Callithrix jacchus: one gene and its partner. The protein of the gene in region 1 purifies or fractionates together with the protein of each later gene. This does not show direct contact. Links are inferred from orthologs where the notes say so. Each region holds a gene or a part of one and is shown in the gene's direction. Other genes may lie near its edges.

The links. The genes of interacting proteins can lie anywhere in the genome.
Region 2: the proteins of STIP1 (region 1) and VCP purify together in Homo sapiens (affinity purification with mass spectrometry; 4 studies listed by BioGRID, with this or other methods). This does not show direct contact. The link is inferred for Callithrix jacchus from reciprocal best matches to the Homo sapiens genes STIP1 and VCP.

Annotation. Positions count from the first base shown.
Region 1 is NC_133511.1:121,253,736-121,261,172, forward strand, and holds the end of STIP1 (stress-induced-phosphoprotein 1), read left to right. Parts: coding exon 1-21; intron 22-152; coding exon 153-277; intron 278-3,656; coding exon 3,657-3,693; intron 3,694-3,907; coding exon 3,908-4,011; intron 4,012-4,232; coding exon 4,233-4,405; intron 4,406-4,826; coding exon 4,827-4,899; 3' UTR 4,900-5,318; downstream 5,319-7,437. UniProt on the Homo sapiens protein: Acts as a co-chaperone for HSP90AA1. Mediates the association of the molecular chaperones HSPA8/HSC70 and HSP90.
Region 2 is NC_133502.1:141,941,226-141,948,776, reverse strand, and holds part of VCP (transitional endoplasmic reticulum ATPase), read left to right. Parts: intron 1-49; coding exon 50-161; intron 162-245; exon of another isoform or gene 246-347; coding exon 348-520; intron 521-1,582; coding exon 1,583-1,725; intron 1,726-2,776; coding exon 2,777-2,907; intron 2,908-4,179; coding exon 4,180-4,311; intron 4,312-5,653; coding exon 5,654-5,756; intron 5,757-6,390; coding exon 6,391-6,524; intron 6,525-6,602; coding exon 6,603-6,738; intron 6,739-7,050; coding exon 7,051-7,163; intron 7,164-7,551. UniProt on the Homo sapiens protein: Necessary for the fragmentation of Golgi stacks during mitosis and for their reassembly after mitosis. Involved in the formation of the transitional endoplasmic reticulum (tER).

The DNA of each region.
Region 1 (7,437 bases):
GCAACGAGTGTTTTCAGAAAGGTACTGCCTGCAGCTCAGGGGGTCGGGTGCATGAGAGCGTGCTGGGTGCTTCCCGTGCCTGACTGTGGGGTAAATAGGGCCTGGTACACATGGGGGCTTTTTTAAAGATTGTCTTTGTTTTTCTTCCCCAGGGGACTATCCCCAGGCCATGAAGCATTATACAGAAGCCATCAAAAGGAACCCAAAAGATGCCAAATTATACAGTAATCGAGCTGCCTGCTATACCAAACTTCTGGAGTTCCAGCTGGCACTTAAGGTGAGACCCAGTTGTGTGGGAGCAGCCATTACTGTAAACCTGCAGATGAGGGGAGGGTTTTCTCTCTGTGTTTTCATCAACTTTGGGTTGATGACATTTGAGATAGTCTCTTGCTCTGTCCCACCTCAGCCTCCTGAGGAGCTAGGACCACAGCACATGCCACCACACCCAGCTACATTTTTAATTTTTTTTATAGAGTTGGGGTCTTGCTATCTTGCCCAGAATTATGGGTGTGTGTGGGTGTGGATGTAGGTGTGGGTGGGGTGTGTGTGTGTGTGTGTTTAAAATATGGGACATGTATCTAAATGGTCCTGGCCCATGGAGTCATTAGTGGTTGGCAGTACATGGGTTGTTTCACCTCCGTATCCTTCCTCACATTTTTTTATTTGTTTTTGCCTTTTTGGTTGTTTTTTGTTGTTGTTGTTTGTTTGTTTTTGAGACAGAGTCTCTCATTGTTGCTGGGGCTGGAGTGCAATGGCGTAATCTTGGCTCACTGCAACCTCCGCCTCCCGGGTTCAAGCAATTCTCGTGCCTCAGCCTCCTGAGTAGCTGGGATTACAGGTGCGTGCCACCACATCCAGCTAATTTTTTGTATTTTTAGTGGAGATGGTGTTTCATTATGTTGGCCAGGCTGGTCTCGAACTTCTGACCTTGAGATTCACCTGCCTCAGCCTCCTAAAGTGCTGGGATTAGAGGCATAAGCCACTGCACCAGGCTGGTCTTGATTCCTGACCTCAGGTGATCTGCCTGCTTCGGCCTCCCAAAGTGCTGGGATTACAGGTGTGAGCAACTGCACCCAGCCAGGTTTTTGTTTTTTTGAGACAAGGTCTGGCTTTATTGCCCAGACTGGCTGGAGTGCAGTGGCACAATCTCAGCTCACTGTAACGTCCGCTTCCCTTGCTTAAGCCATCCTCCCACCTCAGCCTCCTGAGTGGCTGGGATTACAGGCATGCACATTGTACCCAGCTAATTTTTGTATTTTTATAGGCAGGGTTTCAACATGTTTTCCCAGGCTGGTATCAAACCCCTGGGCACAAGAGATCCTCCTGCCTTGGACTCAAAGTCCTGGGATTATAGGCATGAGCCACTGAGCCCGGCCTGTGTTTAATTTTTGACGAACTGCCCTGTTGTTTTTTCAGCAGCTGCACTATGCTTTCTTGTCCTGTTTTGCTCGGGTAGGTAGGTCTGCCGTTCTCAGTCACATGAAGTTTGGTCAGATACGATTAAGTTTGATACTGTGGAGTTCCCATCATTCTCTTGAATATCAGCCACTCTGCCTCTATCAGAGTTTTTTGGAATGTTCTCTAACAAATCTGGACCGTACTATGGGAAGGTGACAAAGTGTGATCTGTCTAGAAGCAGCCATACCTGGCTTTGTGTTGGTTTTATATTTTGTGCCACTGTCTTCTGGGTCTGTGTCTTGGCCTAGAGACAGCATTTCCACTAGTAGAATTGTCCAAGAGTCATGTCAAAAGCATATCAATTTGTGATGCGAAGACTAGCAGGTTGTCAGTCACCTGGGAGGTGGGCAGTACTATCCCAGTCGTGAAAGTGTGGAAGAAGAATGAATGGGATTTCTGCCGCTCTGCTGACTTCTTGGTGGAAGGGTTGGAATTAGGCCCAGGCAGGCTCAGTGTGCTGCATCATGTTCTTCATAATTTCTTACTTGGAAGATGTTTGAAAAAGAAGAATACATAGCGAATTCCTGGTGTAACTTCCACCTTTGATGATTAAAAATTGACCCGTTATTGCTGAACCGTTTGTGAAAGAACTGTATACATTTGGCACTTAGAATGAAACATCCAAGTCTCATGCACACATTGCCTGAAAAGACTCCCTGTCCAATGCGGCACTGTCAGCACAGGTGACCTCATCTGTACCAAGGCCTAATGTCATCTGCTGTCTCTCCATCCATACTCAAGATTTTCCCACTTGTCCAAAAATATGTTTTGAAACTCTGGGGTTAATTTAATCTTATTTTTTTGAAATGGAATTGGTTTGTGGTCGCCCAGGCTGGAGTGCGATGGCATGATCTTGGCTCACTGCAACCTCCGCCTCCCAGGTTCAAGGGATTCTCCTGTCTCAGCCTCCCGAGTAGCTGGAATTATTGTAGGTGCAGCCAGTAGCCCAGCAAAAAGAAATTTTTTAAGTAGAGACGTGGTTTCATCATGTTGGCCAGGCTGCTGTGGAACTCCTGACCTCAGGTGATCCACCCGCCTTAGCCTCCCAAAGTGTTGGAATTACAGGTGTGAGCCACTGCGCCTGGCCTTGTTCTGTTTCTTTTTTGTTTTTGTTTGTTTCTTTTAAACGGGATTTCATTCTTGCTGCCCAGGCTGGAGTACAATGGCACGATCTCAACTCACTGAAACCTTTACTGCCTGGGTTCAAGCAGTTCTCCTGCTTCCACCTCCCAAATAGCTAGGATTATTAATAGCTAGGTGGCACGTGCCACCACGGCCAGCTAATTAAAAAAAAAATAATTTTAGGCCAGGTGCTGTGGTTCATGCCTATGATCCCAGCACTTTGGGAGGCCAAGGTGGGTGGATCACCTAAGATCAGGAGTTCGAGACCAGCCTGGCCATTATGGTGAAACCCCATCTATCTATTTTTAAAATATATATAGATGTTTGTTTGTTTGTTTGTTTGTTTTTGAGATAGTTTTGCTCTTGTTACCCAGGCTGGAATGCAATGGCGCGATCTCAGCTCACCGCAACCTCCGCCTCCTGGGTTCAAGCAATTCTCCCGCCTCAGCCTCCTGAGTAGCTGGGACTACAGGCGCGCGCCACCATGCCCAGCTAATTTTTGTATTTTTAGTAGAGACAGGGTTTCACCATGTTGACCAGGATAGTCTCAAATCTCTTGAACTCGTGATCCACCCGCCTTGGCCTCCCAAAGTGCTGGGATTACAGGCATAAGCCACTGTGCCCGGCCCTTTTTTTTTTTTCTTTTTGGTTGAGACGGGTTTTTCCATGTTGGTCAGGCTGGTCTCAAACTCCTGACCTCAGCCTCCCAAAGTGCTGGGATTACAGGCGTGAGCCATCACGCCTGGCCTGTTTTGTTTTTTAACCAGCAGTGCTTCTGGATTCAAAAGCTCTCAGGACCAGTGCCCATACATTTCATCTAGTTGTCACGTACTCATCAGTTTCTCAAACTGGAATTGTTCCCCCCTTGCATTTATTTCCACAACATCAGCCTCTTACAGAGTCTGGGCCGTTTGTCTTGTGTGGGTTGTTCATCATCTGGAGTTGTCTTTCCTGATGTGTCACCTCTGTGTGGTGCTGGGTCAGGCTTTAAGAGTTGGAAGTCCACATGCTCGAGCTGCCTGTAGTGAGCTTGTCCAAGGGAATGAGCCTAATTTCTTTCTGCCGCTTCTTCCTAGGACTGTGAGGAATGTATCCAGCTGGAGCCGACCTTCAGTAAGTGCCTTTTTGCTGCCTGTCCCGTGTTTCTAGCCAAAAGATTAGAGAAGGAAAGGGCAAGTCCTTTGTCTACCTGTGTGTCCTTGGGACCTGTAGCATTTAGGACCCAGCATCAGCAGGCGTGAACGGTGTTGGTCACAGCAGGTGAAGAGGCACAGAGAGCAGCCTTGGACACTACTTGTGGATAATGTGCCACCTCTCCTGTTTGTAGTCAAGGGTTATACCCGGAAAGCTGCTGCCCTGGAAGCGATGAAGGACTACACCAAAGCCATGGATGTGTACCAGAAGGCGCTCGACCTGGACTCCAGCTGTAAGGTGGGGCTGCTTCTGGCCTCCCGGGGACAACTCCTGCCTCTTTCTCTGTTGGGTCTTTTCCGTGTTCAGTCCCTGATATCTTTCCTGTCGCCTCCATTTCTCTGGGTTTCTCTCTTACTTGCTGTCTATCCCCCTTGTCAGTTACCTATTATCTTGGGCCTGCTGAAGCAGTGAGCCGGGTGGTGGTCACACTCTTCCCCTTTGTTTCCTCTGGACTGCAGGAGGCGGCAGACGGCTACCAGCGCTGTATGATGGCGCAGTACAACCGGCATGATAGCCCCGAAGATGTGAAGCGACGAGCCATGGCCGACCCCGAGGTGCAGCAGATCATGAGTGACCCAGCCATGCGCCTTATCCTGGAACAGATGCAGAAGGACCCCCAGGCACTCAGCGAGTACGTAGAGTCAGAGAGACAGCCTTGCTGGACATGGGGAACAAAAGCAGGCAGATGAGAGTGCACGCAGCTGGGAGGGTTGTGCTCGGTCTCTGAGGAAGAGGAATTGTATCATTCCTCCCAAACCTATGGAGATTGGCAGCGGGCGTTGAGCTGGAAGGGCTTTGTTTGTTAGTTGTGATAGCTTAAGCAATCATTTGGAAAGCCAATTGAGCTGGGAGAAAGGTCTTGGCTGGAAGCTGTGGTGTGGGCTTGGAGTCTGACTGACAAGTTCTGCAAGGTGGAGCAGGCCTTTGCAGTCTGCGCGCCCAGCCTCGCCAGGACTCCTCCCTGCCAGGGCCTTCTGTGAACGGGGGTTGAATTGGAGCTTGCTCGGAGAGCAAGGTTGTCTCATTTCATATAACTGCCTCTTCCTTCGTAGACACTTAAAGAATCCTGTAATAGCACAGAAGATCCAGAAGCTGATGGATGTGGGTCTGATTGCAATTCGGTGATGACTTGTTCATCCCCCCCTTCCCTTCACCCTCATGTGGAAAGAGGAGCTGGGACCGCGGCGAGCAGCACGGAGCAAAAGGGAGAGCAGGGGGAAAGAAGGCCTCATCTCTATATTTATACATAACCCCGGGAAGACACAGAGACTTGTATTGACGCTGTTCGTGCCGCCGCTGCCTCTGGGCCTTCCCAGCACACGCATGGTCTCTTCACCGCTGCCCTCGAGTTCCGTGTCTCCTTCCCCTGCCCCTAGTCGCTGTCTCAGCTGCTCTCCCATAGTTGGTTATTTTTTATTTGGGGCAGTGGGCATGTATGGGGAGGGAAGGGGGCTCTTCCCAGCCTCAGGTCCCAGCTGTCTCGTGTTGTTTATTCCACGTCCCCTTCTCCAATAAAACAAGCCAGTTGGGCGTGGTTATATGTTGCTTTGGCCTTGAGTGATTTTTTTTTTTAACCAAAAGTTGGTCTTGCAGAGGCTGCTCCTGGAACCTGAGCTTGTTCTCTCTGAGGGGGGCCTAGTAGGAGTCAGGTGCTTGGCAGAGCTCCCTGGCTTTGCTGAGAGGGTTGCCAGGTGGCGCTGTTGCTCAGCAGCTGGAAGGGAATCTGGAGGCTTCCCCACCCCAAGTGGTACCAATGAGAGGTTCAGATAAGCTTTGGGATAACTCTAGTGCTTTGAATTCACGTTACAATCTCAGAGAAACTGGCTACATCCAGAGCTCAGTGGGTCCAACCCAGGAATCAGCGTTCTTTTTTTTTTTTTTTTTTTTTTTTTTTGAGACATAGTCTTACTCTGTTGCCCTGGCTGGAGTGCAGAGGCAAGATGCCTGCTCACTGCAACCTCTGCCTCCAGCGTTCAGGTGATTCTCTAGCTTCAGCCTCCTGAGTAGCTAGGACTATAGGTGCATGCCACTAAGCCCGGCTGATTTTTTTTATTTTTAGTGGAGATGGGGTTTCACTGTATTAGCCAGGGTGGTCTCGATCTCCAGACCTCATGATCCACCCGTCGTCTCAGCCTCCCAAAGTACTGGGATTACAGGTGTAAGCCACCTTGCCTGGCCAGAATCAGGGTTCTAATGTGAGATGCTGAGACCTCTGGGGAGAGGCACCTCTGCTGTCAGCTGCTGTTAGATGTAGGAGTTGGGTCATGGATTTATTTTTTGGGTTTGCCTTTGGTTTTGTTATTTGAGACTGAGTTTCAGGCTGGAGTGCAGTGGCACTCTCAGCTCACTGCAGTCTCCACTTCCTGGTTTCAATCGATTGTCCAGCCTCAGCCTCCCCAGTAGCTGGGATTACAGGTACCTGCTGCCACACCCAGCTAATTATTTTAGTAAGACAGTGTTTCACCATATTGACCAGGCTAGTCTCAAACTCCTGACCTCAAGCGATCCACCTGCCTCAACCTCTCAAATCCTCATGCTGGGATTATGAGCATGAGCCACCATGCCTTGCTGGGTGATGGTTTTAAAGAACGCACGGCTTGGTGGGTCACCCGAGGTCAGGAGTTCAAGACCAGTCTGACCATCATGGGGAAACCATGTCCCTACTAAAAATATAAAATTAGCCGGGCGTGGTGGCACATGCCTGTAATCCCAGCTACTTGGGAGGCTAAGGCAGGAGAATCACTTGAAGCTGGGAGGCAGAGGTTGTGGTGAGCCGAAGCCTGGACAACAGAGCGAAACTGTCTCAAAGAAAAGAATGCATGGCTCTCACCTGAGAACTTAGGGTGCTAAGCTTTAATTAGACTTTTCCATGGTTGCAACAAACTGCGTTTTCTAAAGCTCTCTTCCTGGACTGGGCAGGCTTCTTGGGCAGGAGTGAAACTTCCTCATTTGCTCCAAGAGTGCTGCTTTCTGGGCTAGGAAGCCGCTGAGACTAGCAGGTGGCTGGACTTCTGCTGCTAGTTCTGTCAGCTGACTTTTCCCCTGGGAATCCCCGGCAGGCCTCCTTCCCCATCTGGGTGGCCACAGTCAGGCAGTCCCCACTCCTCGACAGGACTCTGCCGCCCCCAGGCCTGTCCACCCTCTGTGCTGCAACCCCCAGTGTATTCCCTGAAAAGGCCGTCATCCGGTGCAGAGCTGGTGGCAGATATAATCTTGGTCTACTGGAGCCCATGTCCTAGGGCAGGTGATGGGCAGGAGGGTGATAGACTGCCAGAAACCCCTAAGGTGACCCCTAAGCATGGACGTGATGGGAGTGAGCCTCCGGGTTCTGGGGCAGGCACATCCAGGAGGGACATAGTGGAGGTATTACATTTGGAGCTGGGGGCCCTGAGGGCCCGGGAGGTTGTGGATGGTCAGGGCCAAGTTCTGTTCCGATGGAGTGGTCACCTGGCAGGTCTGAGTTCATGAGTTTGGAAGTAGCCCAATGTGAAGCTACGAAAAACTGCAAAATGGACTTGTTTCCCTCTGGGGTAGGCCTTGAGGGATCCTTGGTTGACAGGGACAGCCAGGCTGGAGCCGATTAGACTTGGGTCCCAAATAACCTGGATCCACTCTGCCAGCTCCTGGGCTATCCCTCTGGCAGCCCAGTGATGTTTTAAAGCC
Region 2 (7,551 bases), on another chromosome or scaffold:
TCTTGGGGCTGGAGTATCTATTGGGACTGACTCAGTTTTCTCCTTCTAGTTCAAAAGGTGATGACTTATCAACAGCCATTCTCAAACAGAAGAACCGTCCCAATAGGTTAATTGTTGATGAAGCCATCAATGAGGACAACAGTGTGGTGTCCTTGTCCCAGGTAAGCTGAGGCCACAGACTAGTCTTTCCTTATTGGACTTACTTGAGGGATTTTCCCAGGTTTCTTTTCTCATTTTTCTTGCAGTGACTGCAGATAGAGTGGGGTTTACTGGGACTCCCAATCTCCAGGGCTGCTGCTTACTCCCTTCTGCCCAGTGACCAAAAGGCCTTAACCTTCTTTCCTCAGCCCAAGATGGATGAATTGCAGTTGTTCCGAGGTGACACAGTGTTGCTGAAAGGAAAGAAGAGACGAGAAGCTGTTTGCATCGTCCTTTCTGATGACACGTGTTCTGATGAGAAGATTCGAATGAATAGAGTTGTTCGGAATAACCTTCGTGTACGCCTAGGGGATGTCATCAGGTGTGTGTGTGGTTTTTGGCTCTGCAGGGATGGGAGGCCAGAGATAGCCTGCATTCTAGGCAGGACCCATGTATTACACAGGCAGGACCAAGTTCTTGGCACCTGTAGATATAGGAAGCCTCCTGGCCATGGGAAGACTTACACTTCAGGGTTGTCTTTAGATTTTGGTTCTGCCTTCCTGGGATTCGCAGATTTTCTCTGAATGTCCCTTGAGACAAATTGGCATTCCTATAACTTTCCTGATGCCCTATTTTTTCCTACCAGAGATGTAATTTATCATACTTAAAGCTTGGTTTAGGATGCCACTTGAGGGTATGTATCTGCTAAATGACCTCCTCACTACTCTCACTAGTATGTCCAATTAATGGCTTCGGATTGGAATGAGGTTGCGGTATGGGCATGGAAGGTGAGCTGGTAGCAGACCTTTTAAGCACCTAAATTAACTAGGGAGAAAGGGATAGTTGAAGTCAGACCCAGGATAGCTCCATTGAGAGTGATTTTGCTTATTCTTGCATAATTTTAGGCAAGAAGTTACCCCAACTTGGAGTCATCTCTTGCCACTCCTATCCAGCCAACCATCACCTGGCCAGGATCATCTTAGGCTTCTGATACTTTTTAATGGAGTCTGAGTTTCATGTAACTTTCTTCCTGATGGTGCTTAGTCACTTTCTCAAGGTGTTCTGACCACCTGGCAGAGATAATTTTATTTTTTTCACTTCTGTTTCTCTGACCCTGACAATTACTAGCTTAAGATCTTCTTTTGTAATATTGGGTCATCAATATTAGCTAAGGGGATTATCCTAGCATATCTCACTGAAGACTCAGCATATCTTTGTGGGGTTTCTAAATGTGTAGCTCTTGATTTTGGCTCACTGATTAGGAGTGAGTGGGGCTGTTCTTTTGCTCTCACTTCCACCCTGTTCTCCTTCCGCTCTTCACCTAAAGCCATCCCTGCCTTTTCTTTTTTACTTACTATCAGCTATCTCTGCCAGGCCCTTTTGGACACCCAGTGCTTGGGCCCGAAGTGTGGTTGGTAATATGGAGTCTGCTTGTCATCCTCAGCATCCAGCCATGCCCTGATGTGAAGTATGGCAAACGTATCCATGTGCTGCCTATTGATGACACGGTGGAAGGCATTACTGGTAATCTCTTTGAGGTATACCTTAAGCCGTACTTCCTGGAAGCTTATCGACCCATCCGGAAAGGTGAGAGCTAATTCTGAGCTTAAGGATTGTTGATTGTTGAGTTTTTGCACACTAGGTCATGGAATGATTTAGAGAAACTCAGCTTGGAATGTCTTCATCTCATTTTCTTTTTCTTCTTTTTTTGATCTTTTATGCTTTTCCCTTGTATTTATTTATTTATTTTTTAAGAGATGGGGTCAGCCCAGTGCCGTGGCTCACGCCTACAATCCCAGCACTTTGGGAGACTGAGGCAGGTGAATCACCTGAGGCCAGGAGTTCAAGACCAGCCTGGCCAACATGGCAAAACCCCATTGTGGGTGCCTGTAATCCCAGGTATCTGGGAGGCTGAGGCACGAGAATTGCTTGAACCCAGGAAGTGGAGGTTGCAGTGAGCAAAGATCAGGCCACTGCACTCCAGCCTGGGTGACAGAATGAGACTCTGTCTCAAAAAAAGAAAGAAAGAAAGAGATGGGGTCTCACTATGATGCCCAGGCTGGTCTCAAACTGCTGGGCTCAAGTGATCCACCTGCCTTGGCCTCCCAAAGTGCTGTGATTATAGGCATGAACCATCATACCTAGTCTCACTTTTATATATTTGTATACACACATGCATCCTGCATACAGATTCATGTCTTCTGCCCTTCTTTTCCTCCATCATTTTCTCCCTCCATCTCTCCCCTTCTCTGTTCCAGGAGAGTAAGCTATCCTTATGGATCTTTGAAGGAGAAGGTGGTCCATTTTGACTATGTCAGGGTCCAAAGTGTACAGTTCTAGCATTGGTGGTTGTAGTAAAGCTTGGGCTAATTATATGGCAGAAGTCAAAACTTGATGGGCTTCTGGCATGTCAGGTTTTCTGCACCAACCTCCTGAGTGGCAGAGGGACTCTTCACAGTTTACCTTTCTCCTTTTGCCTACTACTTATTAAGACAGTTGGGGTGGCATTGGAGAGAGGGTAATATCTAATGAAGGACAATACCTAATAAGCTTGGCATTTTGACCCAGGGTCTGATGAATTCTCAATTTGTATTGTAGCTGACACCTCTAACTGTGCTTGTATTGCTTGCTCTCACAGGAGACATTTTTCTTGTCCGTGGTGGGATGCGTGCTGTGGAGTTCAAAGTGGTGGAAACAGATCCTAGCCCTTACTGCATTGTTGCTCCAGACACAGTGATCCACTGCGAAGGGGAGCCTATCAAACGAGAGGTGAGTTTTCTCCCTGATCACAGTATCCAATTTCGTGATTACTCAGTGTGGCATCATGTGGTAACTGTCAAGACTGGGTGCTCGGCTGTCCGCAGTGGCTTACGCCTATAATCCCAGTACTTTGGGAGGCTCGGGGGACAGATCACTTGAGGTCAGGCATTTGAGACCAGCCTGGGCAACATGGTGAAACCTTGTCTCTACTAAAAATACAAAAATTAGCTGGGCCTAGTGGCGCACATCTGTAATCCCAGCTTACTCAAGAGGCTGAGGCAGGAGAATTGCTTGAATCCAGGAGGCAGAGGTTGCAGTGAGCTGAGACTGTGCTACTGCACTCCAGCCTTGGTGACAGAGTGAGATCGTCTCAAAAATAAAAAAACAAAAAAACAGACTGGATGCTTTTTGGAGAACTAAGCATCTTTCAGGGATGAGAAATCTGCCAGATATTCATTTCTGGGTCTAGGTGTTTTTTGGAGATACCTAATGCCAGGAATTTCAAAAATCTAGACTGAACCCAAAGTATATAAGTGATTGAAATCAATTTTGAAGTATAGCTGATGGTGGCTGAAGGCCTTTGTCCATTCCCAGAGTTTCCAGCCTCAGATTTTAGAGACCCCCTTCTCAATAAGACTACGAGCAATGTGAGAGGCAAGGACTGTGCTAGAAATCTTTGCCTTGGGATTTTTATAGCTGTTCTTTGAGGCTGGATCCCTGTAGAGGAGAATCTTCTCTTTTTAATTTAATTTAATTAATTTTTTTTTTTTTTTGAGACAGTTTCGCTCTTGTTACCCAGGCTGGAGTGCAATGGCGTGATCTCAGCTCCTGCAACCTCCGCCTCCTGGGTTCAAGCAATTCTCCTGCCTTAGCCTCCAGAATAGCTGGGACTACAGGCATGCGCCACCATGCCCAGCTAATTTTTGCATTTTTAATAGAGACGAGGTTTCACCATCTTGATGGTCTCGATCTCTTGACTTCGTTCCACCCGCCTTGACCTCCCAAAGTGATGGGATTACAGGCATGAGACACAGCGTCTGGCAATTTAATTTAATTTTTAATGACATGAGGGTCTCGCTATGTTGCCCAAGAACTCCTGGACTCAAGCAGTCCTACCTCTGCCTCCCAAAGTGCTGGGATTACACATGTGAGCCACCGTGCTGGGTTGAGAATCTTCTTATATGGTAGGTTTTTGTACACTAGGTAGTGGAATGATTTAGAGAAACTCAGCTTCTGCTGATATTATATTCTTGCCTTCTGCTTTCTTTATCTCTTTTTCAGGATGAGGAAGAGTCCTTGAATGAAGTAGGGTATGATGATATTGGTGGCTGTAGGAAGCAGCTGGCTCAGATAAAGGAGATGGTGGAACTGCCCCTGAGACATCCTGCCCTCTTTAAGGCAATTGGTGTGAAGGTGAGCATTTTGGGCTCTGGGATCCAGTTTAAAGTGGTGATTAATGACTACCCAATGTCTGATCCTGGGACTTTTTCATACGTGGCTTTTGTTATTGTCTTGGATTAGAGGGGCAGTAATAAATCCTTTAATTCACTGAAGGCTCTAAATTCATTAGAGTTGATGGTATAGAACAGAGCAAGCTAATTAAATTCTCTGTTGTGTGCATATGCGCACAAACACATGCACACATATATATGGGTTTTTTCTTTACAGCTCTTAGAATGTAAAAGCTATTCTTGTCTCAGTGGACCCTGTAAAATCAAATCTCACCATAGTTTGCCAGCCTATCTAGAGCAGTGTCACCTGGTAGAAGTAAGCAAGTTAAGGAAATTTTCAGAGTCTTTTTTTTTTTTGAGACGGAGTTTCGCTCTTGTTACCCAGGCTGGAGTGCAATGGCGTGATCTTGGCTCACCGCAACCTCTGCCTCGTGGGTTCAGGCAATTCTCCTCCCTCAGCCTCCTGAGTAGCTGGGATTACAGGCACACGCCACCATGCCCAGCTAATTTTTTGTATTTTTAGTAGAGACGGGGTTTCACCATGTTGACCCAGGATGGTCTCGATCTCTTGACCTCGTGATCCACCCGCCTCGGCCTCCCAAAGTGCTGGGATTACAGGCGTGAGCCACCGCGCCCGGCAATTTTCAGAGTCTTAAAGGGTTCTGAGTTTAAAACATTTGAGAACTATTGGTCTAGAGTGTAGTTTCCCATTCTTTTCTATATCGTGGAACACACTGAAAATGAAGTTACTCATTTCCTTAGTATGTGTCAATAAACAAATAATTTCATCTTCTATGTTCAATGTCCTGCTTGTAAATAAGGCCATAGAAAGGGTAGTGTCAAAGAAGAAGATTGGTGATTGTAAGGAACATCATTCCAATGTGATAAATTCTGGAAGGTATGATTACTGGAGTAAGTGATCCTCTGGCAATGACGAAAATAGACCCTGCTCTCTCAAATGTCTTAGCTAGTCTTTGGCCCTTGGTCTGCCTGAAATTGAGCCCTTAGTGTAATGTCCTTTTGCCTTTTCCTAGTTACGTATCTTCAAACTTATTTTTCACTAGAGTTTCTCTGCCCTTAGTCTCCTATGCAAGTTGCAATCATAAATGTTGCTCACTTTGTAGCAGTATTTTCTGTGCTAGTGTGGCTAAAGTAAGCTGTCTTCCTAGCATTTACTGCTGAGGGCTCATTCTTAATATTGTCAGGGTTGAAGACTGATTCTCGCCCTCTCTGGAGCCCTAGTCAATCCATTTTAGGGTTTGGGAGAAGGTGAGAACCTAATCACATTCTGCATTGGTCCTCAGCCTCCTAGAGGAATCCTGCTTTATGGACCTCCTGGGACAGGGAAGACCCTGATTGCTCGAGCTGTAGCAAATGAGACTGGAGCATTCTTCTTTTTGATCAATGGTAAGAGACTTGGTTCATCTTAGGTCTAGCTAGACCCAATTTTGAATGGGGACTCATGAGCTGGAGAGCTCATGGACCGATCCCTTTTGCATTCATGCCCACCTGCACTTTTATAGTATATTTCTTCTCCTGGGGTATGTTACAGACAGATGAAGAATAAAGGGAAGATACTTTACATTGGTGCTCCCTGTCCTGTCCCCTTTGAGAAAGATTGTGGACAGACCGAAGAGTGGGAGCAAGCTAGAATGAGAAATTAATGGGTGAATGCTTATTGATATGAGAGATTTTCGGGGAAATGAACTTGGATTGCTGGCTCTTGGAGAATACTGTTAGCTGGTAGAGATCTAGCTGGTGTGCCATCTCTCCTGCTCTAGCCATAGGTCCCAGAGCATTTGCTGTCACCTTTATACTTCTAGTTCAACTGTGAGAAGAGTATACTGAGTCCCTGGGCTTCTCTCTAGCCTGGACTGGTGGCTATCCTGTGATAATGGTTGGTAGAGGATCTGAGAAGTAGGCAAAGGTCACCACCTTCTCACCAGGACCTGTCTCTGAGCCAGACAAGCAAGATAACTGTTTTTTGGGTAATTAGGAAAGGCTATAATTTTGTTTTTGCCTCCATTCTGTATTCTTTCAGGTCCTGAGATCATGAGCAAATTGGCTGGTGAGTCTGAGAGCAACCTTCGTAAAGCCTTTGAGGAGGCTGAGAAGAATGCTCCTGCCATCATTTTCATTGATGAGCTGGATGCCATCGCTCCCAAAAGAGAGAAAGTAGGAGCTTACCTGAAGGGATAGTGGGGGGTTGAAAGGCTCTAACTTCACTTATGACCAGACATCCTGTTCTGGCAGACACATGGCGAGGTGGAGCGGCGTATTGTATCACAGTTGTTGACCCTCATGGATGGCCTAAAGCAGAGAGCACATGTTATTGTCATGGCAGCAACCAACAGACCCAACAGCATTGACCCAGCTCTACGGCGATTTGGTAAGCACTCCAGATATATCCAACCCTGCCCTTGCTTACATCTCACCTCTCTCCTTCATCTAAGTCACTTAATCCTCTTGAAGCCCTTTGCAGTGATTAGGTCCAGGGGTCTTTTTCCCTTATCCTGCATCCTGTCTAGACTGACCAACCACTTGGTTTTCCTGAAACTGAAAGGTTTCCCAGGGTTTGAGACTTTTTCACTGCTAACATCAGGACAATCCTATGCTAACTGAGATGGTTGGTCCTGCTAGGCCTGTCTCTTCCCTCTGGACTAGAAATGAGCCCTGTCTGTGTTCATGTACTGTCCCACAGGTCGTTTTGACCGGGAGGTAGATATTGGAATTCCTGATGCTACAGGACGCTTGGAAATTCTTCAGATCCATACCAAGAACATGAAGCTGGCAGATGATGTGGACCTGGAACAGGTAAAGTGATGATGAGGGCTGACTGGGCATTACAATATCTCTGTTTCTAGGCAGTTGCTGGGAACTGGCTTGGAACATAAGGTTAAGATGTGAGGAGATGGATTTTGATTTCTGGACAGGGGAAAGGAAGTGATCTGAGATTGAATCCAGGAAATTGGAGTTGACTTGTTTCTCAGTTAACACTGCATTTAGAGTAAATCAGAATTTCTGGGGCAGCTTTATTTCTAGGCCTCAAGTCCCGAATTGAGTACTTAAAACCCAGCCAATAAAGACATTGCTAGTACATATTCAACGAAATGAGAGGACCCAGGGATAGGAGTCGGGGGAAGGATTTCTGTTGTTTCTTAGCCTCCTGTGGGAGCTGGAGGCAGCATAGTAAGTAGGTCTT